3 linked regions of the Astyanax mexicanus genome follow. The protein of the gene in region 1 interacts with the protein of each later gene in a pairwise test. Links are inferred from orthologs where the notes say so. Each region holds a gene or a part of one and is shown in the gene's direction. Other genes may lie near its edges.

The links.
Region 2: the proteins of emilin1b (region 1) and uncharacterized protein LOC103045848 interact in binary tests that used the Homo sapiens proteins (3 or more experiments, as listed by UniProt). The two-hybrid records come from large-scale screens. The link is inferred for Astyanax mexicanus from reciprocal best matches to the Homo sapiens genes EMILIN1 and PLAC9.
Region 3: the proteins of emilin1b (region 1) and nmi interact in binary tests that used the Homo sapiens proteins (3 or more experiments, as listed by UniProt). The two-hybrid records come from large-scale screens. The link is inferred for Astyanax mexicanus from reciprocal best matches to the Homo sapiens genes EMILIN1 and NMI.

Annotation. Positions count from the first base shown.
Region 1 is NC_064421.1:625,615-636,796, reverse strand, and holds the start of emilin1b (EMILIN-1b), read left to right. Parts: upstream 1-6,153; 5' UTR 6,154-6,406; coding exon 6,407-6,540; intron 6,541-6,546; exon of another isoform or gene 6,547-8,374; intron 8,375-8,482; exon of another isoform or gene 8,483-11,182. UniProt on the Homo sapiens protein: Involved in elastic and collagen fibers formation. It is required for EFEMP2 deposition into the extracellular matrix, and collagen network assembly and cross-linking via protein-lysine 6-oxidase/LOX activity.
Region 2 is NC_064414.1:39,447,455-39,458,655, forward strand, and holds the start of uncharacterized protein LOC103045848, read left to right. Parts: upstream 1-7,049; 5' UTR 7,050-7,218; intron 7,219-7,882; 5' UTR 7,883-7,907; coding exon 7,908-7,968; intron 7,969-11,201. Other genes in the region: L-threonine ammonia-lyase, read right to left, coding at 106-222, 713-1,067, 2,704-2,807.
Region 3 is NC_064418.1:15,939,346-15,949,906, reverse strand, and holds the start of nmi (N-myc-interactor), read left to right. Parts: upstream 1-6,107; 5' UTR 6,108-6,179; coding exon of another isoform or gene 6,180-6,378; 5' UTR 6,379-6,418; intron 6,419-6,564; 5' UTR 6,565-6,728; coding exon 6,729-6,761; intron 6,762-9,301; coding exon 9,302-9,349; intron 9,350-9,456; coding exon 9,457-9,615; intron 9,616-10,561. Other genes in the region: protein mono-ADP-ribosyltransferase PARP14-like, read right to left, coding at 1-117, 534-692, 1,373-1,397, 2,925-3,112, 6,180-6,378. UniProt on the Homo sapiens protein: Acts as a signaling pathway regulator involved in innate immune system response.

The DNA of each region.
Region 1 (11,182 bases):
ATAATCTAATATGTTTTAACTATTAGAGTGTGAAAAAAACACTTTAAATGAATGAGAGCAGTGTTTTACTTTTTACAGTGTACATGTATGTGTATATATTTAATAATATGCTGGATTATGTTCCTGTAAGAGAGAGTCTCAGCCTGATTGAGTGTGTACTCTCTCTCTCTCTCTCTCTCTGTGGTCAGTAGAAAGCCCCGTGTGGTTGGTGTGTGGTAAAACAGAGTGTGCATGAGTTTGTGGAAAGTGATGTGGTAACACACACACACACACACACACACACACACTCAGTCAGTCAGTAAACACAGCTGTGTATGTGAGGGTGTATGCAATGCACAGCTGGATCTGCTGCAGGATGTTTTTTTGCTAAAGTGGTTCAGAATGACGCAGAACGGTTATGATTTACATTTCAGATTGAATGAATATCTGAGCAGCGTGTTCTGGCCTTCCCCAGGACAAAGGAAACTTAAGATTTCTTACTCAACACTCATTTATATCAATAACACATGCAAACTGATACTTTATAAACAAAGAAAAGGTCATATTTAACAGACTTTACCCCAAAAACACCCTCAATAAACACTCTGATACACTAGAATAGTGTATATACACTAAACATTATACACTAGAATAGGAGATATTAGTTTATAAACACCCTCAATAAACACTCCTATACACTAGAATAGGAGGTATTAGTCTATAGACACCCTCAATAATCACTTCTATATACTAGAATAGGAGATATTAGTCTATAAACACCCTCAATAAACACTCCTATACACTAGAATAGGAGATATTAGTCTATAAACACTCTCAATAAACACTCCTATACACTAGAATAGCAGATATTAGTCTATAAACACCCTCAATAAACACTCCTATACACTAGAATAGGAGGTATTAGTCTATAGACACCCTCAGTAATCACTCCTATACACTAGAATAGGAGATATTAGTTTATAGACACCCTCAGTAATCACTCCTATACACTAGAATAGGAGATATTAGTCTATAAACACCCTCAATAAACACTTCTATACACTAGAATAGGAGGTATTAGTCTATAGACACCCTCAAGAATCACTTCTATATACTAGAATAGGAGATATTAGTCTATAAACACCCTCAATAAACACTCCTATACACTAGAATAGCAGATATTAGTCTATAAACACCCTCAATAAACACTCCTATACACTAGAATAGGAGGTATTAGTCTATAGACACCCTCAAGAATCACTTCTATATACTAGAATAGGAGATATTAGTCTATAAACACCCTCAATAAACACTCCTATACACTAGAATAGGAGGTATTAGTCTATAGACACCCTCAAGAATCACTTCTATACACTAGAATAGGATATATTAGTCTATAGACACCCTCAGTAATCACTCCTATACACTAGAATAGGAGATATTAGTCTATAAACACCCTCAATAAACACTCCTATACACTAGAATAGGAGATATTAGTTTATAGACACCCTCAGTAATCACTCCTATACACTAGAATAGGAGATATTAGTTTATAGACACTCTCAATAATCACTTCTATACACTAGAATAGGAGATATTAGTCTATAAACACCCTCAATAATCACTTCTATACACTAGAATAGGAGATATTAGTCTATAAACACCCTCAATAATCACTTCTATACACTAGAATAGGAGATATTAGTCTATAAACACCCTCAATAAACACTCCTATACACTAGAATAGGAGATATTAGTTTATAGACACCCTCAGTAATCACTCCTATACACTAGAATAGGAGATATTAGTTTATAGACACCCTCAGTAATCACTCCTATACACTAGAATAGGAGATATTAGTCTATAAACACCCTCAATAAACACTCCTATACACTAGAATAGGAGATATTAGTTTATAGACACCCTCAGTAATCACTCCTATACACTAGAATAGGAGATATTAGTTTATAGACACTCTCAATAATCACTTCTATACACTAGAATAGGAGATATTAGTCTATAAACACCCTCAATAATCACTTCTATACACTAGAATAGGAGATATTAGTCTATAAACACCCTCAATAATCACTTCTATACACTAGAATAGGAGATATTAGTCTATAAACACCCTCAATAATCACTTCTATACACTAGAATAGGAGATATTAGTCTATAAACACCCTCAATAATCACTTCTATACACTAGAATAGGAGATATTAGTCTATAAACACCCTCAATAATCACTTCTATACACTAGAATAGGAGATATTAGCCTATAAACACCCTCGATAAACACTCCTATACACTAGAAAACAAAACAACTTTTATATCATACAAATATAACCTAAGTAAATATATAAAGCACTATTTAAATTATCATTTCATTTATTAAGTGAAAAAAAAACCTATCCAAACCAATTTAGCCCTGTGTGAAAAAGTGTTTTGCCCCCCATAAATTAACTGCTATTAATCACAAGTTTTTTGTGAAGCTGATTTCAATTTCACTACTAACCACAACCAGGCCTCATTACTGATTCCAGACCTGTAGAATCAAGAAATCACTTAAATAGAAGCTGTCTGACAACAATAAAATCAAAGAACAATAAAAGCAGATAACCACAGTGATTCACTATTATTCACTAATGGAGAAAACATGGTGAACACTGGTGAACCTTCCCAGGAGTGACCGGCCGACCGAACAAAATTACTCCAAAAGGGCATGAAGAACTCATCCAGGAGATCCCAAAAGAAGCCAGAACAACATTTAAAGAACTGCATTTCTCATTTAAATTATATTAACTCAGGTTATATTTGTCTGTAATTAAAATGTGTTTGTTAATCGGAAAAAAAATTATGATAAAAAAGCAAAAACACCACAAGAAATCTGTAGGAAGGCGCAAATACTTTTGCACAACACTGTATATACAATATAAAAGGAGATAATTGTCTATAAACACCCTTAATAAACGCTTTTATACGCTAGAATAAGATATATTATCATTAGAATGATTTGTAGTATTTATTCAGTATTCCTCTGCTGCACTGTTTGCTGTGTCTCTGAGAGAGGGTGCATTTGTTTCTGATTGAGCTCCTGCATAATTTGGGGGAAAATAAAAGGGTCCAGGCAGCAGAATTTCGCTCATTAAAGCAACACGTGCTTCCTTTTAATAGCGGCGCTGTTTTACCACCACACAGCGAGATCAGATCAGTCCAGCTCAGCCAACACCGGCCAGATCTGCCTTCAGTCCAGTTCAGTAAACATTAAAAACCCACTGTTTTCCAAACAAACAAACGATCAAATTGATATATTAGGCGCTCAGTAAACTACTTAAAAAAAAGTTAATGTGCTAAACATTTGCTTACACGCAGATTAGAGCTATCTGGGCATCTGCAGACCCTTAAAAAGTCTTAAAAAATCTTTTCTTTATTTAAAAGAAAGAAAGACCTTAATTTCTCTTAAAACATCTTCCAAATTTGATATGCAAGTTAGTTTACTGATTTAACAGCAGAATGAACCAATTGCATTATTTAATGCTCTAAAGGACTAAAGATGTTCTCAGATACGCCCAATACTTGTTTTTATCTAGCGTAGATGCTACTGTATGCATGGGGAAAACTATAGACTTGGGGTTAGATAGGATGCATTATTTTGTGTTTGAACATGTATATATAAATATTTGTTTGTCAGATAATACAGCAGCGTACTGTTTAGTTTGTAAACTTAAATTTGGTGTTGAGCTTATTGCTGTTTTGTTTTTTGTTTGTTTTAATTGTATTAATTTTATCTCTGAGTGATATTATAAATCTAATTTACCCATAGGTGCATTTGCTCTTAGAAATCTAAGGCTAAATTAAGATGATTCTTACTGACCATATATTTTCGCCTTTACCTAAAATCAACTGGGAGAAAGGTTTTCCTACTCCTCCATGCAGAATTCTTTCAGCTGCGTGATGTTTGACAGGTTTCTTGTATGAAAATCACCCCACAGCATCAGAGTACAACCTGATCTAAAGAGTAATTTTTACAAATCTGACTTAAAAAGACAATTTCTGGATTTGTACATTTGTGTGTATAAATTCACCGCCTCCTTTTTATGCTATTTTACAGTAAGGGTTATAAACTGATGATTCTGGGGGAATTGTTGGACACTCCAGATGGAAAATTACAGTTTTTAAAGTAGAGTTTTTTTAAAGAAATGAGATGGAAAATGGGTGTGGCTTTGGGTTGTGTTATTGAAACATGCGGGGATGGGCGGAGCTACATACACATCATACTGCAACCAGCCAGCAGAGGCGCTAGACCTGTACAGTTATTCATTAGCATTCATTCAATTATAAAACAGGGTTACAGTGAACACTGATGTCTTATGCATGTTACATATTATGTTCTGTGTGTTATTGATTATTAAATATTAAGTGTATGAAAATCAATAATCTATAATCTATAAATCTACACAGAATTCATATTGATATCAGTCAGCAGGTTATAAACTGCATGACTGAGCCGAGGGGGGGTGGAGATGGTGGTGGTGGGGGTGTTGTTTTAGTGTTAAAGTAGGATGTCCCGAGGTCACAGGGGTCACCTGAGGACAGGTGATATAGGACACTGTGCCTGTGGTCACCTGTGGTGAGCCACATTACTGAAATACCCCGTATACCACCCCCAACACCCCACCCACCACTGCAGGCTATTTCAGCCGAGGAATTCATAACGGCTTCCTCAGATACCAGGAAAATCCTCCTGTAGCTGCAGCATCTATATATACAACTGTTTTTATTTAGCATCACAGAGGATTCCGCTATCAACAAAGCAGCTTTTACAGTTTACAGATACACCTGAAAGAAAAGCTGCTACAGTGTTACAATAAAGTACAAGGCTTTTATTTGATTTCAGACAGCATTAAATCAAGATATTTCATATTTATTAAGCCCTATCCTTCCTCCTGCCTGGTTTAAACAGCAGCAGAGCTTCTGAATATATCTACACTGATGGGCGTGGTGTTCTGGAAATGAGGTGTGTTCAGGTACATTTCTGGAGTTTTATCTTGTTTATCTTGGTAACAGAAAACACAGGAGCTCCACTGACTGAATACAACCTAGACAGACGCCAACAGTCAGACGATCATCGCTATCTCGGTAACACAGGCGCCGTGCCGAGCCGAGCGTACACCCCCACTTATTACACACACATGAACACACAGCAGCACAAACCCAACTTTTACATCAACAATAAACAGAATAGTAAATAAAATAACATTGCTGTTCCCGTAAATGAGCTGCTGGAGCTCCTTCACAGCGTCAACCAGCAGCTCAGTTTCCTCTGCTGAGAAGAGTTTGTTGAACACGTCCAGGTAGCTGCACCGTTACAATAGCAATCCACCAAAGACAGAGCTCACCTGATCTACTCTTAAAGAGAATGATGAGCAAACAGATGACACTCTAATTGGTTTATTTATTTCATATTACGCCCAAAATTAATTAAACACACCCATGATTAATTAAGAGAATTATTACATGACTTTGCTTTGCATTTAGAGCTGTGCAAGGTGTACTTACTTTTCCCGTCGTTACGATAGCAAAGACACACTGACACGCCCTAAATCAAATCAACAGTTTGCTTACAGATAATAATATTTTTAATAATATAATAATGTTGAAACATGAAATACGTTGGGTTCATACTGTCTGCAATGAAATGAAAGTTAACCTTTTTTTATTTTGACAATATTTTGAGTGTTATATATATATATACATATATATATATATGTATATATATATATTTATAGAAAATTTCAGATTAATTTTAATTTTAATTGCATAATGCTGACTGATTCTTGTTTTTTTATTGATGTTCAACAGAATTAGCTGTTTTTCACTGTTTTAAAAGCTGTTTTAAGCAGATTTTAAGCAGATTTTTGGAGTTTACCGGTTTAGAGACACGTGGCCTGATTCACTTTTACTGAAAACAGGCCCGGGAGTGAGCTGTGGTACTGATCCAAAAGTGTGTGTGTGTGTGTGTGTAAGAGTGTGTGTGAGGGTTTTCTCTGAGATTACTCATTTTGGGAGTAGAGGGCGGGGAGTAAATGTGGGAGGGGCTAGTGTAGGAGGCGGGGGAGTGGGTGGAGCCTGCACACAGGCTGCTCTGGAGCTCAGAGGGACCTCCCAAACTCAGCAGAGCCCTGGATCTGAGCGCCCGGACTGGATGTAGCTGATCTTCCAGAGCCCTGAGAGAGCCCGGGGGAATGGCAGCCGGGCTGTAGAGGGTCGTACCCGCCCTGCAGGAGTGTGTGTGTGCCCGGGGAGGTGTGTGTGTGTGCCCGGGGAGGTGTGTGTGTGATGAAAGCTGGCATGAGGAGCTCAGAGAGGAACACTTGAGCAGCTCCAGAGGAACTCCAGTCTGTGTTCTGTGTCTGAAGTGAGGGATGGACCTGCTGCTGGTTCTGGTTCTGGTGCTGCTGGGGCTGTGTGGCAGTGCCAGGAGTGCGTGGCACAACCAGCGCAATGGGCTGGCACACACACAGGTTGGCACGGCGCCCCGGGCGGCCAGCAGACACAGGTAAGATCATTTTACAGCTCAGAACTTCTGGGTGGGAGCTCTGCTGTACGGGCTGGAGCTCATTTACTCACTTACTGAGATGTGTGAGGTTCTGTTTGTGGTTCTGTTTGTGGTTCTGTTTGTGGTTCAGTTTGAGGTCCAGTGTGGTGCAGAGTGAGTTATGTTCTGATTCACACATCAGAACTACTTTATCAGACTTTATGAGGTTCTGTTTGAGGTTCTGATGGATTATATTTAAGGTTCTGAAGTTTGAGATTCTGTTAAGGTCCAGTCTTAGGTTAATTTTGAGGGATTTTTTAAGGCCCTGAATGAGATTCTGTATGAGATTCAGTTTAAGGTCCAGTTTGGGGTTCTGTTTGAGAGTTAATTTGAGGTTCTTTTGCAGTTTGATTTAAGGTTGTGTTTGTGGTTCTGCTCAATGTTCTGTTTGAAGTTGTGTTTGAGGTTCAATTTAAGTTCTGTTTTTTGTGGTTCAGTTTTGTCTAAGGTCCTGTTTAAGGCAATGTTTCAGTTTCAGATTCTTTTTGAGGCTCTTATTAGGTCCAGTTTGAGGTTCTGTTTAGGCTGGTGTTTGAGGCCCTGACTAGGTTCAGTTTGTGGTCTAGTTTGAGTTCAGTTTAAGGTCTTTTTTGAGGTTCTGTTTAAAGTCTTTGTATCAGGTCCTGTTCAAGATTCTGTTTGTTGAGGTTCTGTTTGAGGTCCAGTGTGAAGCAGTGAGGTATGTTCTGGTTCACACACCAGAACTACTTTATCAGATTATGAGGTTCTGTCTTAGGTTCTAAACGCAGCCCTGTTCATGGTTCTGGTGGATTATATTTGAGGTTCTGAGGTTTGAGATTCTGCTTAAAGCCCAGTGTAATCCTCTTTTTGAGTTTCTGCATGGTGTCCAGTTTGTGGTTCTGTTTGAGAGTTAGTTTGATGTTTTGTTTGAGGTCTGATTGGGTTCGGTTTGAGGTTTGATTTGAGGTTGTTTATGGTTCTGTTTGTGGTTCTGTTTGAGATCCAGTGTGATGTAGAGTGAGGTATGTTCTAGTTTTTACACCAGAACTACTTTATCAGACTTTATGAGGTTCTTTTTGAGGTTCTGATTGTGGTCCTGTGGCCCCGTTCATGGTTCTGATGGATTATATTTGAGGTTCTGAGGCTTGGGATTCTGTTAAGGTCCAGTATAAGGTTTTGAGGTCCTGTTAAATGCCACGTTTGAGGTCTGGTTTGAGTTCAGTTTAAGGCCCAGTGTAAATGTTTGTTTGAGGTTCTGTTTGAGGTTTGATGTAAGGTTGTGTTTGTGGTTCTGCTTGATTTCCAGTTTGAGGTTCTATTTGAGGTTTTCTGAGTTCTGTTTGAAGATGTGTTTGAGGTTCTGTTTGAGGCCTTTTTCATGGTTCTGGTGGATTATTTTTGAGGTCCAGTCTAAGAATCTGTTTAAGGTCCTGTTTCAGTTTCTGTTTGAGGTTCTGCTTAAAGGTTCCGTTTGAGGTCTTATGTGAGGTTCTGTTTGAGGTCTTATGTGAGGTTCTGTTTCAGATTCTGTTTGAGGTTCTATTTAAGGTTCTGTTTGAGGTTCTGTTTCAGTTTCTGTTTGAGGTTCTGTTTGAGGTTCTATTTAAGGTTCTGTTTCAGTTTCTGTTTGAGGTTCTGTTTGAGATTGTTTGTGGTTCTGTTTGAGGTTCTATTTAAGGTTCTGTTTGAGGTCTTATGTGAGGTTCTGTTTCAGTTTCTGTTTGAGGTTCTATTTAAGGTTCTGTTTCAGTTTCTGTTTGAGGTTCTATTTAAGGTTCTGTTTCAGTTTCTGTTTGAGGTTCTGTTTGATGTTCTATTTAGGGTTCTGTTTGAGGTTCTATTTAAGGTTCTGTTTCAGTTTCTGTTTGAGGTCTTATGTGAGGTTCTGTTTCAGTTTCTGTTTGAGGTTCTGTTTGATGGTCTATTTAGGGTTCTGTTTGAGGTTCTGCTTGAGGTTCTGTTTAAGGTCCAGAGTGTTCCTCTAACATTCTCTGATATATGTTCTGTTTGCACCGCAGACCCACTTTATCGGATCAGAATCATGAGTACTCACACTGTTTGTACCATTTTATAAAACTGTATATAAACTGTATATAAACTTTATATAATCTGTATTGTGGCTGTATGTGGACGCTCTGCTTTACCTCACACTGAGAGAAAACTCGACCTGACAGCACATACAGCACTAAATACATCACTGTTAGATGTGAGACACTGATTTATAGCTCTTTTATGAATCTGATCACCTCTCTCTGGAGTAAAGTACACGCCCACTGTGTAGTAAACGCCAGCATTAATGCTGGAAATAGCTCTGGTGTTTTAGATACAGGAAAAAGGAACTGCTATTATAATCAATATTAATAACTACAACTCACCATTATGAATATTATCTGAGTAATTTAACCCAGTATATAAAAGAGCACTTCAGTTTCTGAATCAGTTTCTCTGATTTTGCTATTTATAGGTTTATGTTTGAGTAAAATGAACATTGTTGTTTTATTCTATAAACTACAGACAACATTTCTCCCAAATTACAAATAAAAATATTCTCATTTAGAGCATTTATTTACAGAAAATGAGAAATGTCTGAAATAACTAAAAAGATGCAGAGCTTTCAGACCTCAAATAATGCAAAGAAAACAAGTTCATATTCATAAAGTTTTAAGAGTTTAGAAATAATCAATATTTGGTGGAATAATCCTGTTTTTTAATCACAGCTTTTTCATGCATCTTGTCATCATGTTCTCCTCCACCAGTCTTACACACTGCTTTTGGATAACTTTATGCTGCTTTACTCCTGGTGCAAAAATTCAAGCAGTTCAGTTTGGTGGTTTGATGGTTTGTGATCATCCATCTTCCTCTTGATTATATTCCAGAGGTTTTTAATTTGGTAAAATCAGAGAAACATCATTTTTAAGTGGTCTCTTATTTTTTTTTTACAGAGCTGTATCTATATACATGGGTGCAGAAGTTGTACTTAAGTAGAGTAGAACTCAATTACTAATTGATGATTCATAAATAAAACTTATTTTTGTTCAGAATTAGCTTTATATTTTCTGCTAACGAGTATTATTTTCATTATTATTGAAAGTAATTATGTTTATCAGCAATTATCAACCACGTTATTTTGAGTATCAGCATATAAAACTCAACCTGAACTGAAGCTGCAGTGAAAACCTGGAAAAGCATCATAAAAAAAGAAGAATGCAAAAGTTTAGGTCAATAAATGAATATGTCAATAGCTAACAGGCTTGGGATTAGGTTTTAATCACTTTTATCCATTATTTAACCCATTAAGTTTATCTGTTCTAATAGTTTTGCTAAAACAAAACATGTGTAGGTTCAGACAGAAGGTCTAAATGTAAATACCTGGAAATAAAAGGACTGACCTCATTGTTTTAATACCTTTGAAGTATGATTATAATAATTATAATAATAATTTGCCACGTTGTGTTTACTGTTATTCTATAATCTATTGTCTGTCCAATATTTCCTGAGATAAAGATAAAGAGTTAAAGTAAGTGTGTTTCTGGTGATTATTGGAATGATTAACCCTATAATTTGAGTATTTAGAGTATTTAGAGTATTAGCGCAGGTGTGCTGCTGTATGATGAAGTGTTAAGTGTGTGTTGGGGGGGCAGTATTACGCCCCCCGCAGGCTCTCAGTGGGATTAAAAGAAGCTGAGAGTTTATTGCAGTGTTTCATCTCCTCGTCTGCGTCTGGTTTATTCACTCGCTCAGGTTAGAGATAGAGATAGAGAGAGAGAGAGAGAGAGAGAGAGTGAGAGGGACTGGTTCAGATTATCCCTCTGCTTCTGATTGGTTCTCACTTCCTCACTGTTTGAGGTTCTGCAGACCCGGTTCCCCCAACAGAAAATATTAAAGCGATAGTTCACCAAAACTCAGATTCTACCGGTTTTCTCTCCTACCGCACACAGAGACTCTCAGTGGTAAATATTTGGTAAATGTTTAGATGTATACTGTAATGTAGAGAACATGCTATAGTAAGATTATAAACACCTTTTAACATCCGGAACGCATTCAGCTCTTTTTCTTATCATTAGCCCAGACTGATAGATAGATAGATAGATAGATACATAGATAGATAGATAGATAGATAGATAGATAGATAGATAGATAGATAGATAGATAGATAGATAGATAGATAGATAGATAGATAGATAGATAGATAGATAGATAGATAGATAGATAGATAGATAGATAGATTCTAGACATCCAGCAGCAGGCATGCACAGTACACAAAAGTTACAAAAGAAGGATAGGACATAACGATACATATAAAAATACAATAAAATAAAATATAAAGTATAAAAGTACAGTCTTATAATAATAAAAATAATATTTTATTTATATAGCGCCTTTCCTGAAAACTCAAAGCGCTTAACAACACGGCCATAGACAAAAGGCATAGTGAATAAAAACAAGCATGCAAGCACTTACACGGTACAGTGCAAGTATTTATACATAAAAAAAGAGACAATTAAAAAAAAACAGACAATAAAATAAAAAATAAAATAAAGTATGCAGGTAAAAATATATTAACAGCAGTAAGCTTTCCTAAAAAGATGAGTTTTAAGTAAAGATTTAAAAGAGTTTAGGCTGTCTGCAGCACGAATATTAC
Region 2 (11,201 bases), on another chromosome or scaffold:
GCACCAGGTTTGTTTGATCCACCATAAGCACAATATATATTTAATGTAAAATAGTAATTATCAAAATGATACGCAAATATTTTGAGCACAGTATTAACCTGTTACCTGTTTCAGTGTGGAGAGCAGATACAGAACTCCTCTTTCCTTCAGAGATCCTGTGTAGTGGAGGTGTTCTTTCTTCAGGTAAATCTCCATGCCGTATAGTTTGGAGAGTCTGGAATACTGAAAGGCAGAGGTAGAACCAGGTTTGGACTGCAGTGAAGCTGGATGATAGATTGCCTATTTTAGACCACTGAGTGTTATCTTACTGAATAGTTCTCATTCTTTCTAAACTCAATCTCCTCAAGATATTTTGGTTTCTGTCCCTGTATTCCCAGCAAGACAACCAGGCAAACAAAACCCCAGGCTAAACTCCTCCTGGGCCTCCTGAGAAAACAATAAAATGTAAGCTTTGAAGTAACTTTTTTTCCTTAGTAAATCAAACTTTACAACACAATACATTTTTGAAACAGCAGATGCTGGCTTCTCTTTATGTTTACACTGTGCTACTATGTTTAGATAAAACTTTGGGTGTTGGAAGGATATTGTTTGGCTGTTGATTTTGGGCTAATACTTGCTATTTCAGGCTGGAGAATATTCTGTCAGAATGTTTGTGTAGAGACTGACTGATATCGGTGGCCAGATCCCAGAATAACGGTTTAGATGAACATACTGTGCAGGGAGTCTTCTGAATTCCTGCTTGCTGTATTTTTAATGTCGCTGTACTGATGTCCTCAAACCGGAGGTACTCCACAGGAGGTCTGGCTGATGGCTTGTACTCCTTGCTCCTCTTGACAGAAGGTTTGGGTGGAGCCATTAGTTGGACCTCAGGTCCTCCTACAACCCTGGTCTCAAATGTCTTCACATCCCCATTCAGATACTCCTCAGCACCAAAGTCTCTGAGACGCTCTGGACAAATGAGGGTAGGTCGACGGCCAACAGCTCCATTGGCGATGGGGCCGTCTTTATGGTATTGCCCATCAGGAGTTGAGTGTTTCTTTTTGGTGCTGCTTAAACGTTGCTCTTCACTGTTGTAGAAAAAAAATACACAAAAAGATATATTATTCTTTTGCTTTCCTTTCCATAAATGTATTTTCTTTGCATGCTTACATACACTGTACATACACTTCTCTGTAGAGAAATTAGCAAATGTGCAAGAAATATAAAAATAATTTAGCTTTTTCTTAGAACCTCTCCTTAAATGAGATTAGATTAATCTGTGAAAAGTCTGCCAAGAGATGTAAGCCTGAAGAAAGTGATCTATGGTGACAATGAGAAGAAGAGAGAATCCCATCACTGATGCCTGCCAGATGCCTTGGCTGAATCACCAAAGCCAATGACTGAGGGTAAGCTAAGCATGTGCTATGTAGATTATGTCGTCTTTGCTTTGCCTTATCCTTGTGTAAAATAGCAGATACCCCACTCTGGAGCCTCTTTATCAAATACCTGTGTAGCTTTGTAATGAAAAACAGCTGAAGAAAAAAGTTACTGGGGTAATTGGGTTCAATGTTTACTTGACTCAGTTTGACTGGTTGAATTAGACTGACGGTGCATAATATGAATATATACAAGATTAATACTGCAGGACTACTGAATGGTACACATTAAACTTGCCAGTGTTAGATCAACACTGAGTCCTAAACATTGGTAATTTAACATTTAAGATTGTACTGTGTATTGTGTAAATAAAGTGTGCAGTAAGTGCTATAACCAAATATGGGTTATATGCTTTGGTCATGTGCTCACAAAAAAAACGAATCCTTCACAATTCCTAATCCACTCAAGATCTCAGTTTGGCTCTGTTGCCCAGCCTTTCTAAGCTCTAATAATATACCAGCCTAGATTTGTTCTCAGAGGTGACCTCTTACCCCATTCCAACTAGCCTGACAGTCATACCCAATGCTCCGCCAGTGCTATACTTTTAATATTTACTCATTGTTATTTTCTTAAACTTGTTTTTCTTTGTATGATTTACTTTCAACTACCATCTTACCCTTCTGTGATAACTCTATTTACCGTGGCAGGAAGAGGAGGATGAAGGAGAGGAACAAACGGAGGAGGAAGCATATTACTGTGTGGAATTCAGGCAGGAGTGTCCTCCTCCTGGGAGCATTAAGGAGGTGCGAGGATGAAGGTACAATAGGGAGAGCTGGAGAACCTTGAGGTGGAGGAGGTGCAGATGCAGGAGGAGGGTCAGAAGAAGCTTTAGACTTTGAAACAAAAGATGCCTCAGAAGATATCTTCTTTAGGGTCCCAGCATTAGATCGTTCAGCTTTGTCTGAACTGGTTTGAGAGTTACAGTTTGTAGGTTGAAGCTTTTTGATGGATAACCTCTCTACTGCATTGGTAGATGGTAATGATGGAGGATCTTTTGAAGATATTTGGGAGGCAGAGGCTACTGTGGAGGGAGCAACCTTCCTAGAAGTTTGAGTCCTAGGAAGCTTTGGGGAAGACACAGCTGAATGGTTGGAATGAGCCAGGGTAGGACAAGCAGCAGGAAAAGGGGTTTGAGCAACTACACAGTCTTTAGAGGAGGTGCTAGGTTCAGAGGAATGTTCCAAAGCCATTACATTATCTGAGCTGACACTTGTTGACTCAAGAAGACACTTGGTATTTTTCACATTAAGAGATTCTTTAGGGATTTGAGATTCAGACTCCTCCCACCTTTGCCAGAAGGGATCGTACTCCTCGTTGTCACTGTATCTCCTTCGAGGTGGCGTTCCCTCCCCCGTGTAGTTTGCGTAGAAAAACTGGGCCGCAAAGTTCATCCTGGATCTTGGGTTGGTGCTCTAGGCAAGTTCCAGGATCTCCTTTAGTAAAGAGTTCCCTCTCCTGTAAATAGGAATGTGTTCAGCCTGCACAAGAGAAAGAACTAGAGTCCTGTTCTCCTCCACCTCTACTTCACACAGACGTACTGCAGAACCCTGGCTTGCCTTGTGAGGCTATTTAAGGAGGGATTACCCCAGACAAATGCCAGCCTCTTTCCCAGCCTCCCCACCCCTCCTGGCCAAGCCCTGAACTCTATTCCTGTCCCATACCTGGTTTAAACTGCCCTGTGACGTGGGCTAATCAGACGCTCTAACGGGATAGATGGAGACTTAGTGCTTATCTAAGAAACAATCAGCCCGGGCCTTGGGTCTGGGAGGCAGACTGGGCGATCACGGGGAGAGGCCACTGTACCCCAGGACCTGTGTGGCTGACCATCAGGCCAGGCCAAATCCTCTTCAACCAGGATCAGATGTGAGGAGTCACCTCTACTCCGAGCTCTCTGACCACACCAATTACTCAAAGTCCAGAGTGATTTGAAATTACTGGATGGTGTTTGTTTATATAGTTTGTAGTGTTATTGTTTTTAGCTTTTTTTTTTACTAAAAACTTTTTGTAAAATCAATGATATGTTAATCAGTTAAGATAGCAAAGCTCCAGAGGCAGGAAGCTGTGGGTTCCATTCTTGCTCTGATCACTGTCTGATTGGTGTTCTCCCGTGTCTGCACAGGTTTTCTCTGGGTACTCTGATTTTGTCCCACCTCCAAAACAAACACGTGGTAGGTGAACTGGCCATGATAAATTGCCCCCTAGGTGGGAGTGTGTGAGTGATCTTTAGTATATTTCAGGGAAAAGAATACTGGTGTCCTGTCCAGTGTGTATTCCTACCTTGCATACAATAACCCAGCTCTGGTCATGCAACCACGACAATGGAAAAGTGGATGTGAAGATGAATGGATTTCTATTCAAAGAAATGCAAACTGGTTGTTTCAGTTACTTAGGCTATTTCTGGGCTGAGTACCACACGCCGAGTCTGAGTTGCATCAGCCCAGCAATGGTTTAAATCTAGGCCCGATTCTGGCCTCAAGTGCTAGGCTCAGAAACTGGCAGAGTGTTGCCTGTACTAACACCTCTGTTTACAGAGTATAATACAGCAACTGGCCCAAGCCACATATGCCAACACACCGGTGGCTGTTAGCTGGGTATGATAATCTGATTGTGAAGTCCAGGGAGAGTTGAGGAGAATGGATAAAGTTCAGTCAACAGTGTTTATTTGCAACACCCACAGCTTAAGTATGTTCCTAACAGCACAGAAATAAGGCAAGCATTATGGTTCTTGGGATCACACAGGACAGTAAGAGTGGACAGCCAGCTTAAGCCCTTCTGAGCAGTCAAGACACGTCACTGGCCAAAGAACTGAGCTGAGGTGTGACCCTGAGGGTGAGTTTTTTCCACATAAAAAACTGTAGGTTTAAACATTTACATTTACATTTACATTTACGGTATTTAGCAGACACCCTTATCCAGAGCGACTTACAACAGTGCTTCAAAGTTACTTAAGATATCCAAAGCTAGTTTGTAGACTAGGATCAAGAGATACATAGAGCTTAGTCATGTTAAGAACTCTAGGAACCTTTTTTTTTTAATTTTTTTTAATTTTTTTTTTTTTTTATTTTATTTTAATTTAGTTTAGGAACTCTTTGAAAAGATGTGTCTTCAGTCGACGTTTGAAGACCGTGAGTGACTCTGCTGTTCTGACATCCAGTGGAAGTTCATTCCACCACCTTGGTGCCAGCACAGAGAAGAGTCTGGATGTCTGTTTTCTGTGTGTTTTGAGTGATGGAGGTTCGAGCCGAGCCGTACTGGAAGCTCTAAGAGCTCTTGGTGCAGATCTGGCTTTGACCATCGCCATCAGGTATGAAGGTGCTGGTCCGTTTTTTGCCTTGTAGGCCAGCGTCAGGGTTTTGAATCGGATGCGGGCGGCAACAGGAAGCCAGTGGAGGGAACGCAGCAAAGGAGTCACATGACTGAACTTCGGAAGATTGAAGACGAGTCGTGCTGCCGCGTTCTGAATTAACTGTAGTGGTTTGGTGGCTCGCAGTGGAAGACCAGCCAGTAGAGAGTTGCAGTAGTCAAGTCTTGAGATGACAAGAGACTGCACAAGCACCTGAGTGGCATCCTGAGACAGAAACGGTCGAATTCTTCGGATGTTGTACAGGAGAAATCTGCATGACCGAGTCAGATTTGCAATATGGCTCGAGAACGATAACTGGTCATCCATTACTACACCGAGGCTTCTTGCTTCTGCCGATGGAGTGACCAGTGAGTTCTCGAAGGAGATGGAGAGATTGTTGTGAGGGCTTGTAGTTCCTGGGATGAACAGAAGGTCAGTCTTGCTGGGGTTGAGTTTTAGGTGATGATATAAACAATAAACAATTTCAGTCTCAAATAGCCAACTGCTCTGAATCTCCATTCTTTCAGCTGTTTTATCTGCTCTGGAAAACTTTTCATTTGCTGGCGGGTTCGAAAGCTCTCTGGCCTTACTACAATTCCATTTCCCGCACAGGCTGCTGGTGGGGTTCCCCATCCTCCTCTTCCTCTTTATCTGTGTCCCTTTTGCAACCACACACTGCAGGTGTGAGGTGTGTATGAGGACAAGGAGATGAGCACACAGCAAGTGTCCACATGATTGTGTGTGTGTGTACACTCAGATTAAACAGGCTCAGGTAGGGAAGCAGCTCATCCACAATTTTATGACTCTAAGGCTATTTTTTTGCTTGCTGAATAGGCATGCATGGATTGTCCCTGTATCAACTGCTGTGTGTTACAAATTGTGCCATCAAAACCACTGTCGTCTTTTACTGACCCGGCAACACAAATAATGGCATAATATGAATTTTTAGGCTAAACATTACAAACATTTAAGTTCCACGAGGCATGCACACTGTTCTGTACCTTTTTAGTGACCCTTTCCTTCCTCTGCTTATCCTTTCTGCCTTTCAGGATTATGGGAGCAGACAGTGCTTGACCAGTAGACCATGCCAAGTACTGTCGGCCTAATATAGATGGACATGTTTACACTGCAAACTCTCTCTCTTGCAGGTGCTCACTCTCTCTTCCTTTTTCTCTCAGTGTGTTCATTAGCTGAAATAAACAGAAGAAAAAAGAAAACGTTATTAAAATGACACACAAAACCATGAATCCCCATTTTTGCTGTTTTGCACTTTTGGACAGAATGTAAGCGGTGTGCCATATCCTATCTCACACAATAATATGGTCGATTTTTGTAACAATAAAAAAAAAACATACATTGTGATAATTATGCTACTCTGTCTTAAAGCAGTCTACTTTGTAAGGTGTAAGTGTATTTTTTGCATAATTGTTTGGTTGCTGTTTATATGCAGAATATTTAGTGCATAAATATAGTGATACATTTTATGTAAAATGTATTTTTTGTATTCAAAATCAGAATCTTATCTTACAAAATAGACAAAAGATTGCATCGTTGTTTCTACTGAATGTTAGAAACTTAAAATTTAATGCTGAACGGGCCAATAGAAATGCTCCAAAATTAATTGGGATAAAATCCCTTTACAGTGACTTTCATGTTGTTTATGCCCATATTTGGGGTTTTGTGTGTATTTATTTTGTCTCATTTACCACTCTGTGCTTCGTCTACAGTAACCACCTACTGTCCTGTGGCACACAGGTCCACTGAGAACACAACTCATATGACTGATCAACACGAACTAACTCCAAAAAGACCCAGTTAACCATTTTACACAAGAAGTGCGCTTGCTCTATGAGCCTCAGCGGATGACTACTGTGGTCAATGAGAGCAGGGAATACAGACACCACGCCACGCCACGCCACGCCACAACATACTGACATGTTGGATCTTTGACTTATGGATAAATCTGTCAAACAATCTTGTATTTTTTAATATTACAATGCAAACAACAAACATACTCCAGTGTTCAAAATTGTGCAGCACTAGTACTGATCGCATGGCTATGTTCAATTTATTAGATTACTACTTGCTCCAAGCAAACATATGCTTACACACACGCATGCATGCACTACTTGCATGTGCATACTTCCTGAGGTTTGCTGGCTTGGCTTCAGCTCTGTTTCAATTCTGCTGGAGAAAAAAAAATAGTCCCACCCCACAGGCCCACTGCTCAACTTCACACACACCCAGCCCCCCCACCCATCTCTCTCTCTCTTTTTTTCTCACTCTCTGTCACTCTCTCGCTTTGCCCTCCTCCAAAAAGAGACCACTCTTGTCCTGCGCTGAGTGTTTTCATTAGGAAAAGAGGCAAAACGCAGAGTGAAAAAGAGAGAGACAGAAAAGCAGTGACTGAGGAGGGAAAGAGAGTCACGAACAGCTAGAAGCCCACCACAAGTTTTAAGGTAAACTCATCTCACTTCCTCTACTTTTCCTTCATGTGTGCATGAATTACTTTCCTGTTCTGACTGTGTGTTGAAGAACCTCAGAAGTTTACAGAGCTCCGATTTTTAATCTGGCTCTGGATTAGTGTATAGACACACTGTATGCCTGAACACTAATACACATACAGTTATATTAAAATCTGGGCATCTAAGGTAAATTATATGTGTTGGATCCCATGATTTTGTCTCTTTTTTCACTTGTATGTTTATGTTTATGTACGGGCAGTTCTAGCCAGACACTGCCAGTCACAATCATTTATCATGATTCCCTATGCCATAAGACATACTACCAGTAAGCATGTGACATTAAGAAATACCTACTATAAGGTTTTGCTCAAACTCTGATAATTCATAAGTACACTGGACAGTGTTCAGAGTCACTCACAAGGTAACATCTCACAATTTATACAGTGTTTGCAAACGGCTATCCCATTAATGTCAGTGTATTTGTAAGATATTCAAAAAAAAAAAACTAATCTGACCAGTGTTTCCAAGCTTTTGCATAACTCTATACACATAGCTGTGTTCAGTTGTGTTTTTGTGTATTTACTGTATAGTCTGCTGTATTTGTGCTGTATTTTGTCTGTCAAACAAACAACCAAACAACCCTCTTCTTTCCCTGTAGCTGGATTTTGTATCAGCTCTGAGTCATGGCCCAGTGCTCCACCTGCATCAGCCTCTTACTGCTCCTGATTGGTCAGATTTCTGCAGGTAGGCACTCATAAAGTGTGAAGTGGAGAATGTGGGCTTTCGAAATCTATATAGGCAAATTTGGACTCACCAAGTCACATATCTAAACAGCCTGCAATTCTGACTCTCTGTGAAGAAGATTTCCAGAAGAGTGATTTGTGTAAAAACAAGAGAAAAGAATCAAGAAATACTGTAGTAATACTGGAGTGAATATTAGATTCATGAAATTTAATAACGTGTGTGTGCGTTTTACGGAGCTGGAACATCTGGTTCTGATTTGGCTCTGCTTAGCTCGGTTCTGAATGACAGGGCAGTGTAAGCTCACAGTGGACATGCACATTTCATGCATGATATACCATAGTTAACTTCAGCCATTATAGAGCATTTACACCTAGCAACCAAGCAAACTGAGCTAAGATATTCTCTGCAGGGCTAAAGCTTGTGTAGCTTGAGTAGTTCTGGTGACTTCACTGGCAGAGAAATTTGAAATAATTACGGGAATGTTTTTGTGTGTGATCTCATTTCCTAAGAATGGAGAAATATTCTCATTCACTCCCAAATACAGAAAGGCTCCCTCTGTCTCTTTCTTACGCTCTCTAAATTTTTTCCTGCTCTTGCTGTCTCTTTGCACTTCTATTGATCTGGGAAATACTCCACCAAGCACAGTTAACTGAGGTTAACAAACACATTACAGTTACACACATTTTCCACTGGCCTGCTCAGACCCACTATTATTCAACAGCAAAGAGAGACTGAAGCCCAATTCTGTTCTCCTTTATTTTACTAACCCCAATCTGAGGCGGACTCTGTGTACTGCATTATGGTGCTGTCGCTACTCCAGGGGCCTCCAGCTGTTGAATAATGGGTTTGTGAGTGTGTGAGATGAGTGGGGCATATTTTTCAGTTGTAACTTGTTGCCTTTGTGTATGATTATTTCTCCGGGTGATGTCACAGCCGGTCCAAAACTCACACATCATTACCAACTGCATTTTACGTGGCCAAACACACTCACACATTGCTTGTCTAAACTGTGCTGTTGTTTTTGACACACACTCACAAGAAATATACAAAACACTTATTTAAAAAACTGATCTGCTTTAGTACTACAACTTTTGTTGTAATTTAGAACTACCCACTGCTGTAATTTCTGGTCCACATCAGGGCAGCAGGCCTGAGTCATTGTGCTACATCATTGTGCAACAATTGGGGGCCCCTTGTGTCGCAGTGTTGGCTGGCTCCCAACTAACTCACACAGGCAGCACAGACTAAGAGTTGCTATAGAATCCACACTAAAATCGTATACAAAACAACATAATTTACCAATGAAACGTAAAGAGAATTAGTGCCACCAACCTAATATAAGGTAGGTCTCAATTGTGCCACCAAAACAGATCTTATCATTTGAGGCATGGATTCCACACAACCTTTGAAGGCACCCTGTAGTATCTTGCAAGATCAGTTTTATTTGTTGGTTTTTGTTTATTTGTAGTTTTTTTTTTGTCACATTGCAGATTTCATGGTGGCTAATCGTGCTTTCAGCCGCTTAAAAAAAGATTAACCCAATTAATTGCATGCTCTGTAATTAATTCATTCATACACATTCATCATTAAATATTTTTAAAACGGAGAGTTCAATTAAATGTTAACTGAGAATGAAGTGAGTAAAAGAATAACTGGCATAGACTTAATGAAATTCAGTCAAGATAGATAGACAGATGAGGTAAATACTGTATCTTTCTCACAGTCCTAGATCAATTTCTATAGATACTTAAACGTGACACAACAATTATTGTAGATGCTCACACATGCCTGAGAAAATTTTCAGGTGATTTTAGACTACTCAACCACACTCTAGAGTAACTACACTCTAGCACAGCTGAAATATGTTTGTGTAATTATAAAATATATCAGCCCTGATTAAAATGTTTGAAAATGAGATGGTATTATTAAATATTAACAGAATTTAGACATTTCATTATATTTTGATCAATTTTTTTCTTAGTAACAAACAAATATTATTTTAAGTCAATAGTAATTAATTTTAGTACATATCTTTTCATTTATATTTTCTGCCCTGGGGCTCTTATTTTGAAAGCAGAAACAGCAGATTAGCCTATCAGCTAACCGGTGATGCCAGCTGTTCCCAAGCTGAATTAATGGCTGGTGTTTGATAACAGATGGATGGCACTGTGCTGGTTAGATTGTTAGGTTCTGGGGTTTGGTATTATACATGGTTTATGGTTATACGTCACTCCAGTCTTTAGTTACTGACCTCAGAAAACCAGAATGCAGCTAGTGGCTCAATGCTAGGTAGAACTCAGCAGTAAGGAATTAGGTTGCACTGCTTTGCCTTATTTCCCTATTAGTTGTAATACTTTAGAGAACTTTAGCTATAGTAACTAAAGCTAGGAATTAGAGAGGCTTTAGCATTACTGGATGGTGACGGGGTGCTATTGGTTACTTTGAAATATTTACTGTAAACATGTAAACAAGGAAAAAATTACATTTATAGGACTTCAGACTGGGGGCTTCATGCCTGTTCCTCAACCCAACAAAGCAGTTATTTTATAACTCCACTTCATGCAGCTCAGTTCAATCAATTACTGGATTAGTGAGCTGCAGCTGTTCTCTCTCTGAACATGACAGGTTTTTATCTCGCTTAATAAAAGTTGTTTCCCAGCTAAAATGAAGATTTTATATAAGCTGCTAATGGAACTTAATGTTGGGGTAATGTTGAGGTAAATGTAGAAAGTGTGCCCAACAAAACAAAACAAAAAAACAATACAATGCTTAATAACTACAAAACTAATTGGAAATGATCTTACTAAGACTTGTATGTTTAAAATCAAGCTAGTGGGTGAAACTAACTGGCTTTACCCACATAGACCTTCTGATCAGTGAATTAAATAGAATTTTTAAGCTGCGTTTTATTATATCATCTTTTTAATTTAATTTTCTGGATGCTTAATATGAACAAATGGCCTGTCATACAAATGTGTTTCATAGTTTATGTCCACTTAGACTTTAGGTTTCTGCTGTTAATTCTTTGTTAGCTTTTAGCTTTGCTACAGTTCTCTACCACAAGCCTGAGTCCAGCAGAGACAGTGGCTGACCATACTAACATTCTGTCTGAACCCACAGACCTCAGCCAACTGTGTCCACATGTGCTTCCATGTCTTTGCAACAAATACAAGACAAGCCAAAACACTGTTTACCCAAACCCAAAAATCCAAAAGAAAAAGTTTCCCTGTTCC
Region 3 (10,561 bases), on another chromosome or scaffold:
TGCACCCTGTTAAGATGAAGCGCCGAGGATCGCAGAACTCCGAGATACTTTGTTCTTTATACACCTCCACAGAAAGGCCGAAATCATGCTCCTTCTGCACCAGAATCCTCTCTACATCTGAAAGACCATATAAGACCATTATTACATCACATTATTTTAAATTATTACATAAGATTAATATATACACCATGACAAATAATGGAGTGCAAATTAAGATATCAGTAGCTTTTCATTTCAGGCATGAACTAACTTTAATAACACCATGTATTATTAGGGCTGTGCATTTGCAAGAACTTATCATGGTATGTATCACAATACAGTGGCTGCGATAGTTTAAATCAAATTTTAGGAAAACTGTCATAGGATAAAAAACATTATATTTAAAAAACTGAATGAAATAAAAGTTTTCTTTTTATCCAATCAGAACCGTGGGATCTAACGACAAATTACAACACTGTCTGACACCAATCTTTTCATATATACTAATAATATTTTTTAAAAAATCAATACACTATATGTTACATAATATTTACCTGACTGGGAGGCTACTTTTAGGATCCAGCTGTTTTTCCCATGTTTTGTGAGGTCTGCTTTTTCTGTGAACTGCTCAAAATATATTTCCAGAGTATCTTTATCATTCATGTCAGTGGTGCTGACCAGCAAGTCCTGCTTACTGGAGCTTTCTTCCGCTTCTGGAATAGAAAAAAAACCTGTATAACTCAAATTCAGCTTAAGGGCATTTTTATATTTGAGACAAATAATACAGTAAGTGTATAGCAAATGTGCTACTGTGAAATTATAAATGTGCATCATCATAAGTGGGCATTTATTTTTTAAATATTATTTATATTTTATAATTGAGCTCATACAACAAATGACCATATATCATATTTTTATTTTTATTCTGAAACTTTTTTTACATTAAGAGTCTAAAATGTTCTGTATTTATATATACATTTTCTTTATTTCATTTCTATTCATTAAGGCACAGAAAATAAGATAACTTAAAACAGTAAATGAAAACTGAATATAATAACTTTATACATTGCAGAATTTATTTTTGTATGAAACAGAATAAAAAAAGGTAAAAAAAACAGAACATAGGGTTTAGAGTACAGCATACTATAAGTATATAATATAAATCACTATAAAATGTACAGATTTATACCAGTCTAAACGGTAAAACTGCATATAAACCAAACATGAACAGTATAACATTTGTAGTCTAAATAATATATTTTTAAACAAATTCTAAACTGAATAAATTGTATATAAAATATTATATTAAGTATATAAAGTATACATTTATTTGCATTACAAATACAACAGTAATACATTGAGAGTACGCTGAGCATAATAAGCATAATAATACCTTCAGGAATTTCAGAGACAGACTCCTTTACAGCAAATCCATGTAAAAGACAAAGAGATTAAACAAATTGATCAGGAATATACTCTATACAGTACTGTGCTAAACATCTAGGGTTTCATTATATTTGTTTAAAGCTGCTTCAGGGTTTCTTAGCAATAAATGTGTTTTTGCCAGAAAAATACTACGGATGCAATGAATATAAAAATTATTTGGCCAAAAAACAAACAAAAAAAAAAACATGTAGCACAATAAAACTTGTATATATGTTTTTTAAGAAAGCATACAGCTCACTTCAACCTTATCAGCAGTTTCAGTCAAAGAAAAATTTTAAATCTGAAAATCTACAGAGATTTCCTCTAGCGGGCTTACCTTAGCCCTAGCCTAGAGTAGCACTGCTGAGATAAATTCAAAATGGAATATGAGAATAGCATTTATGCGGTAAATTTATGATCAGAAAAGCACAAATGGCATAAATTCATAATAAGAATAGAACTGCTGAGGTAAACTCATGATCAGAATAGCACAAACAAAGTCAATTCATAACAAGAATACCTCTACTGAGGTGAATTCATGATCAGAATAGCACAAATAAAGTAAATTCATAACAAGAATACCTCTACTGAGGTGAATTTATGATCAGAATAGCACAAATAAGATAAACTCATAATAAGAATATAACTACTGAGGGAAATTCATAATCAGAATAGCACTAATTAGATAAATTCATAATAAAAATAGCACTGCTGAGGTAAATTCATAGTCAAAATAGCACTAATGAAGTAAATTCATAATAACAATAGTAATGCTGAGGTAGATTCATAATCAGAATAGCACTAATGAAGTAAATTCATAATAAAAATAGCACTGCTAGGGTACATTTGTGAACAGAATAGATAAGTATGCTGAGATATATAAAACAAAACGTTAAAATGTTTTGTTTTATAATAGTTTTTTTCTTTACAATACAACTAAAAGTATATTTAGGCATCTTTTATTCATTCAATGGTGAATTATTGAAACATTATTTAAAACTGTAAAAAAAAACATCCCCTTTATTGGTCAATTGTTTGATATTGTTGAATTACTGTTTTGGACAAAAAAAAACATATCAACTCATCCCTAGCCTTTAGTTACTGATATGTTGTGTGAAAAAACACACATTTTGTTCTTAATTGTGTTACAGGTTTAACTATAAAAATAATAGACATTGTTTTTTGGCTTTTCTTGTTCTTTCTAAAATGCAAAAACAAGAATGTGAAACATTCAAACACATAAATCTATTGCTGTGTTGTTTATGAAGGTCTGATCTGAATGGAAGGCTTATCATATATTTAATCTGAGTCATGGTTTTATACTTCCTTATTAACGTCATGATCAGCATTGCTTAAATGCTTTCATTTTCAGATTCCCCATTGTCTTGTCGTTTCTAATAAATCAGGAAAATAAAGTTTATTTGATTAATGAAACGTCAGGTTGGACTTCCCCTAGAAAAACGAGCTCCTCCGGCAGGTGTAACAGTGTTTTGCAACAAAGATAAAAACAGAGAAGTCACCTGGACGTCAGCGGCTTGTGCTGATTTGCTGAGTTCAAGTTTTTCCAGTTTGGGTTTGGGTAAAATAGGAGGTTTCATTTTTTTTAAGGCTGAGCTCTCGTCCTCCAGACGTTTCACCGTCACGTCAACAAGTCCCCGTCCTTTAAAAGCCACTTGGTGAACTCTCTTCTCCAGTACTTTATTTAATTCTGAGGATTAGACAATGATAATGCATTATTTGACACGGTTCAGACTTACAATTTATAAATACGACACAATAAAATTATTAACTAACACTGATCCACCATAACATTAGTACCACTGACAGTTGAAGTAAAAAACATTTCTCCCAAATTCCAAATATAATTATTGTCATTTAGAGCATTTATTTGCAGAAAATGAGAAATGGCTGAAATAAAAAAAAAAACATGCAGAGTTTTCAGACCTCAAATAATGCAAAGAAATTAGGGTTTATATTCATAAAGTTCAGAAATCAATATTTGGTGTAATCACAGTTTTTATGCATCTTGGCATGTGCTCCTCCACCAGTCTTACACACTGCTTTTGGATAACTTTATGCCGCTCCTGGTGCAAAAATTCAAGCAGTTCAGCTTGGATTGATGGCTTGTGATCATCCATCTTCCTCTTGATTATATTGCAGAGGTTTTCAATTTGGTAAAATCAAAGAAAAATCTGAATTTTAAGTGGTCACTTATTTTTTCCAGAGCTGTATATGGACATGTGCATTAAACGCTGAAATGCAGTCATACATTTTACACTTACCATTTATCTCCAAAAGTGCCCAAACACAACAGATTCCATATTTACTCACTAAATATCAGTATTTTCCACATTAAAGGACATTTATATTGAATGTTTAGCGTGTTTTTTATTTTAAAGCAATTGACTCCTAATTGTTGACTAACTGACTAACTTAAAAAAATCATCATATTTGTCTACCAAAATAATCATTATTTGCAGCCCTAAATAATAATAATAATAATAATTTTAGTTGACCTCAATATTATCTGTAATGTTTTTGTGAGCAGGAAAGCCCATTAATATGAATGAGCTGATATTTGGCTTTTTTACATTTTATTTATTTATGATATTTCTTAAATTACATTCCTATCCCAATGAAATTTAAGAGATATCCAATATTCCAATTCCAATATTCTTAGCTGTTAAAAGTTCCATCTTCTTTAAAATGATGTAATTGTATTGTTATACAATTATACAATACCTAAAATATTGGCATAAAAATGGTTGTTAAAAGATTATTAGTATTAATAGCTATTGTGATAAGACTAACATATGATAGTGTAAGCAACTGAGTCAGGACATCAAAATATTAGGCAGGTCACGTGGGGTGTTCCTGGTATGCAGTGATGACTGAACAAGTAACGCCTCATACATTACAACTTAAAGAACATAAAGGATCTGCTGCTAATGTTAGTCTTAGTGCCAGATACCACAGGCCTCCTCTTTTAGTTTTTTTTTTTTGGAGTTTAAATGGTTTTTGCCTTAAATGGTCAGATCTGTTGTTGTAGATCAAGGGGAACCTACTCAGTATTAGGCAGCTGGTAATAATATTATGGCTGACTGGTATGTACAAATTACACAAGAAAAGTCTCTGGGTGCCACCATGTTGAAAATAATTTTAAACTAACAATTTTTAAATCATTTTATGAATGAAAGGTTAGAATAGGGGAACATATTGCAGAATTAATTCTGTGTAAATGCATGAAATTGAGCTGTTGCTAAAAAAAACAGATCTATAATAGTCATGCATTTAAATGAATAACTACCTGAAGGTACTGTGTGTATAAACAGTGTTTTTAATAAACTACCTGCTCACTTTCGAAGTTCTCCGTGCCTCATTTTAAAATCGGGGCCTTCAGTGTGGAGCCACTTTGAGCTAGTTATTGTTGTAAAAATAGCAATTTCTTTGCTGTATTTTGGAATGCTGGAGAAAAACAGTGCTGGGCTATTTGACAAAAGTTTATACTCATTATCATGTTTCACTACACCTCAAGTCCATTTCAAACTGTATTTCTCCTTTAAGATACACAGCAAATTTGGCAGTGGTAAATCAACACTTTAAGGGGGGTCAGTTCTCCAGACAGGGATTAAGCCTAGTCTCTGACTACACACTATTTCACTGAAGATTTTCCATTGAAAGGAAAACATAATATACGAATAGACTAAATTTCACAGTCTGGAATACTGCCCTTAGTGTTAAACTATTGTCTAACAATGTTCATTTAACCCTTTTAGACCTGAATTATGTTCTCGGGATGGAAAAATATAGGAAGACTGTTTTGTGTCTGTAAAGCACACAAAAAACTATTATCGACACTAGTATCCTAATATAAAATCCATATAAAATAAATCCAACTAACCCAGATTTTTAAACATGATACAAAGTGTTCTAAGTCTCTTGTACTACTTTGCCTCATTGGTTCTATAGTGCTGACATGCCCTAATGTCCAAGTTGCTGTTTTTTATTTTTTTCAGTGCAGTGGGTGGGGCTAAGCTACTGTTTCACTGGCTGGTTTATGATCTTTTCTGATGGACAGGTGAACAGGTCTCAATTAATGTTCTGTTCTGTTCTAAAAAAAAAAAAATACATTTGGAAAGAGAAACTACATGATGTCCATTGTAACTGATGCAGGGTCTGAAAGGGTTCAATCTAGCAGTCGCATTGTTGATTTAACACTGACAAGTTTTGATTACACACTAAAAAAACTAGATAAAAAAGTTACACATTTCATAATTGTACCCTCAAAGGTATAATATTGGTCTTTACAGGATCAGATGTGTTCCGTCTGAAGTACAAAGTCTTTTCTAACAGCAGGAAGTAGAGATTTTTACCAGTTAACCAGCTTAAAAGTACATTCTGTATTCTGAATCACTGTACCAATAAATAATATATATTTTAATTATACATTTTTATCATCAAGTCCTTGACACATGTTCAATTGATGATAATGTTTATAATTTTTATAATCTTTACTGGTAACGTTACAAAAACATGTTTACAAAAAAGTCTTTCAGTTAAAGATACTCTGTTGTACCTCAATATAAGGTACTGCCCCAGCAACAAGTACATTTTTTTCTTAGTAGGTATGTCAAATCAAATCAAAATATTTCTAAATAATTTGGAGTATTACCCTAGTCAAGAAAAGAGGGTACACCTCCAACGACTCCAAAATTAGTTTAGTCCCATTTACTCTTCTCTGAGAGAAAATAGTAGTTTTGGCTTTATGAACGTACCTCCTTCATCCATGTAGATAAGTCGAGCTTTCCTCTGATCTTCTGGATGCTCCTGGATCTCCAGGATCTCTCCTCCAGACCGTCTCTTGTTCTTGAAGTACAGTTCTAGTTTGGACTTCACACGGTGAAAATCATCTGGAAGACCCTCCAGCTCCAGTGTTTTCTCATCCTGACTCTGTTTTCTTTTGGCGGTCTCCATCTCGACGTTTAGAATCTCAGATAAACTCACAGAAATCTCAGTAAGAACTTTAAAAATAACTAAAGTAAAGTTGAAGACAGTCTCCTGAACTGTCCATTTCAGACAGCTGTCGGAGGAGCTCGCTGAAGCCCGTCCGAACTGTACTGTACTGTACTTTACTTTACTTTACTTTCACTTTTACTTCAGGACACTCGCCTGCTTTTCCAGGAAGAGAGACACAACCCGAACACAACCACAAACAGCGGGGAGCTACGCCAGATAAATCCCATTTTTACTCGTTATTCGCGCATTTATTTGCGTTTCTTGTGATTTTAAAGGGGAGACCAGACCTCGGCAGAAATCTGTTAGAGATGACGGATACAGGGGAGCAAGTGAACGGCGAGGTAAGCGTGTTTTGCTCGTCTCGGGATTCGCCCCATTTAAAAAAAAAAAAAAAAAAAGAAAAGCTACGAGCAATAGTCGTTAATCATATACCAGTTTATTAAAACGTGTAGCAATTGATTTATTTTTATCATACGCTCAATGCGATTTTAGATACGATTAGATACTGTCGCGCTTTGTAACGTCTTTATAGCCTGTGTTCTGTCGAGTTGTGCTACCCTGTCAAATCGTGCTACCTTAGTGTATATTTAAACGTAAAAATACACAAATAGGCACTGTTTAAGAAATATGCTTCCAAAGGTATGCTTCCATAAGCTTTATCTAACTCACTGTATGAAAAAAAAAAAAAGTTACGGCAATGAGACCTGATTAGATTTTTAATCATAAGATTTTAATCATAAGATTAATCATAAGATTTTTAATAATAAGATTTTTGTATAGCTTATTATTGGTATTTTTTATTCATTTTTGCTATTTATACTTGTCTATCACTTAAACAAAGAATAACAGTGAGTTGACGTTAAAAGAAAAATCATAAATCATAAAAAACCGTGGAAACATTACAAAAAATGTGAGTCCGCGCAGGCGCACTGGAGAAAAGAAGCATATATCGATGGGAAGCACAACTCGACAGGACACCCCCCGGTTAGAAATGTCGGCGAGAGAAGACCGAGTGAGCTACGTGAGAGTAGCTACGTGAAATACTGTATCCAGTTTCTTAAAACGTGTAGCATTTTTTATTATGCGCTCAATGCGATTTTTGATACTCTCGCGCTCCATAACGTCTTTAGAACGTATAGCTCGTTTCACATCAAAAAAGGGTCAAATTCTTAACTCTCAGGTGTGGGTTTTCCCAGTATATTATTTAGATTTTCCGGTCCACCTTAAAAAGTCGAAATACCAATAATGCGCCAGTAGAGAGCGGGATTGGGCCAAGACAAATTTGGCATTTAAGAAATATACAGCTCTAGAAAAATTGATTGATTGATTTTAGCAAATTGAAAGCCTCTGGAATATAATCAAACCATCAAACCAAGCTGAACTACTTAATATTTTGCACCAGAAGTGGCACAAAGTTATCCAAAAGCAGTGTGTAAGACTGGTTGAGGAGAACATGCCAAGCTGCATTAAAACTGTGATTAAAAACCAGGGTTATTCCACCAAATACTGATTTCTGAAGTGATTAATTATAAAAATGAACTTGTTTTCTTTGCATTATTTGAGGTCTAAAGCTCTGAATCTTTTTTGTTATTTCAGCCATTTCTATTTTTTTTTTTTGCAAATAAATGCTCTAAATGACAATATTTTTATTTGGAATTTGGAAGAAATGTTGTCCGTAGTTAATAGAATAAAACAACAATGTACATTTTAATCAAAACATATACCTATAAATTGCGAAACTGAGGCTGAAGTGGTCTTTTAATTTTTTTCAATACATTCAGAGAATAAATGGCCTGTTCTGCGGATTTCCAGTTGCCCTAATTCCAAATGACTAAATAATCTGATAAAGGTAACACCAAATTATAATAATATAACTATTACACTGTAAATATCCTAAAGGACAATGAATATTATTGAACAATATTTTTTATTATTATTATGACCCTCTGAACTTTAGCATTAGATGCCAAAGTTGTCTTGCTTGGCCCAATCCCGCTCTCTACTGGCACAACATTGTTATTTCTACTTTTTAAGGTGGACTTCAAAATCCGAATAAGAAGCTAACTTCAGTCTCCTGGTTTTACAAAAGCTGCTGAGCAAATACCTAAGTCTTAGATGGATGAGCGAGCATTACACTGAAGACTCCATGTTTATAGGATTTACTTAATGCTAAGATACTTCTGGAAACCTGGGTCCAGTTCAGTAAAAGTCAGTGTGCAATTTTGGAACACTTCTGTTGGTCAGTGGTCAAGATGTTGATTGACAATCTGAGAAATATGGAGATTTTTAAACTTCATGAGTTTTGACTGACTTTTAGTTGTTCTCCTTCTTTTTTCAGAATAATAGATAATGGCTATAGTGGTTTTAACAATATTTTTTATCTATTTTGTAGAACTAATAACATCAAGTTATATCAAGTTTGTCTTATTTTATAGAAATAATAAATTGAACTTGTTTTCTTATCATTTTTGACATTCTTTTTGGAAATAATTGTTTACCTAAATATTAACATTCTTTTGTCGATTTACTTTATATAAAAATGACTATTTATTAATCCTTGTGAAATAAAAAAAAACTTTTCTGTATATTTAAATAATTTTCTCATGATTTAAAGTCTTATTTATAATACTTTTCTATTTTCACTGAAAATGAGGCACCTGTGGTTTTGTATATATTATCTGAATAATTTCTGAATCAAAGACAAAAGTAAGCAGCATTTGGTTGTAAGAGGTTAATAAGTATACATGTATCAGCTTAAGGTGCATCTATGTGTTATATCAACATTATATATTAAGTTGGAATTGACTGTGGATTTTTAAGGATGTTTTTAATTTTAATTATATCTTTTTAACACAGTGTTTTTGATGTTTCTATCATATAGCAGTTGCAGCAGATTGCTGACGCTAGGGAAGAGCTGGAGAAATGGAAGGTAATGGAAGCTAACAACACTTGGCCTGTATTCTGTAAGCTGAACAATATTTACTCATGGATCTGATTTGGTCAGGTATTTGTTTAATACGCTTGTGCTCCTATCAGAAATTTGTGGAAGCTGCAGATACAGAGAGGTCCAGGTTGATGCTGGAAAAGATGGACTCAGAATCTATGAAGAAACAAGCCCAGCAAGAAACAACAGAACTGTGGAATGCTACAGAGCAGCTCACAGACAAGTTCGACAAAACAGTGCAAGACATACAGGTATGCTGTGATCAGGTATTAACTATTAAATGCTGTCAATGTTAATGCATTAACGCACACAATTAATCTGGAAACTTTAACAGATTTATTGTTAAGTTACGCATTAATCACATGACCAAATTTACAAAGCCTGGTGATGTATTAGAGGTTTTATTTGACCATATAACAGCTTACTGTCGAGTTCAGAGGATAGATTACTTTTTATTTACGCTGAAATATGGATTAAATATCATAACTCCCTCTTTCTCTTATTGCACACACAAACACACACACACACACAATTTTTTCGGTTCACTCTCAAAAATAAATCCCAAAATATTTTACATAAATAATATTAATAATGGTTATTTACAAAATATTGTTGTGATTAATACAATTCAGTTTTTAACCAATTTACCATACTAATATAAATCTAATTCTATTTAGCCAATCTTACATTTATCATTTCATTTACATCAAGTATTTATTATTATGAAGAATAACAATTGCAATTAATCTTGATTAATTATTAAAATCCAAATATATATACTTTAAATTGATTGACATCAATAGCATAAACATACAGCTCTTACCAAATTGAAAACCTCTGGAATATAATCACGAAGAAGACAGATGATCACAATCATCAAACTAAGATGAACTGCTTGAATTTTTGCACCAGAAGTGGCATAAAAGTATCCAAAAGCAGTGGGTAAAACTGGTGGAGAACATGCCAAGTTGCATGAAAACTGTGATTAAAAATCAAGGTTATTCCACCAATTATTGATTTCTGAACTTTTAAAACTTTATGTATACAAACGTTTTTTTTTTTTGTTTTGTTTTTTTTTGCATTATTTGAGGTCTGAAAGCTCTGCATCTTTTTGTTATTTCAGCCATTTCTCATTTTGCAAATAAATGCTCTAAATGGCAATATTTTTATTTGAAATTTGGGAGAAATGCTGTCTGT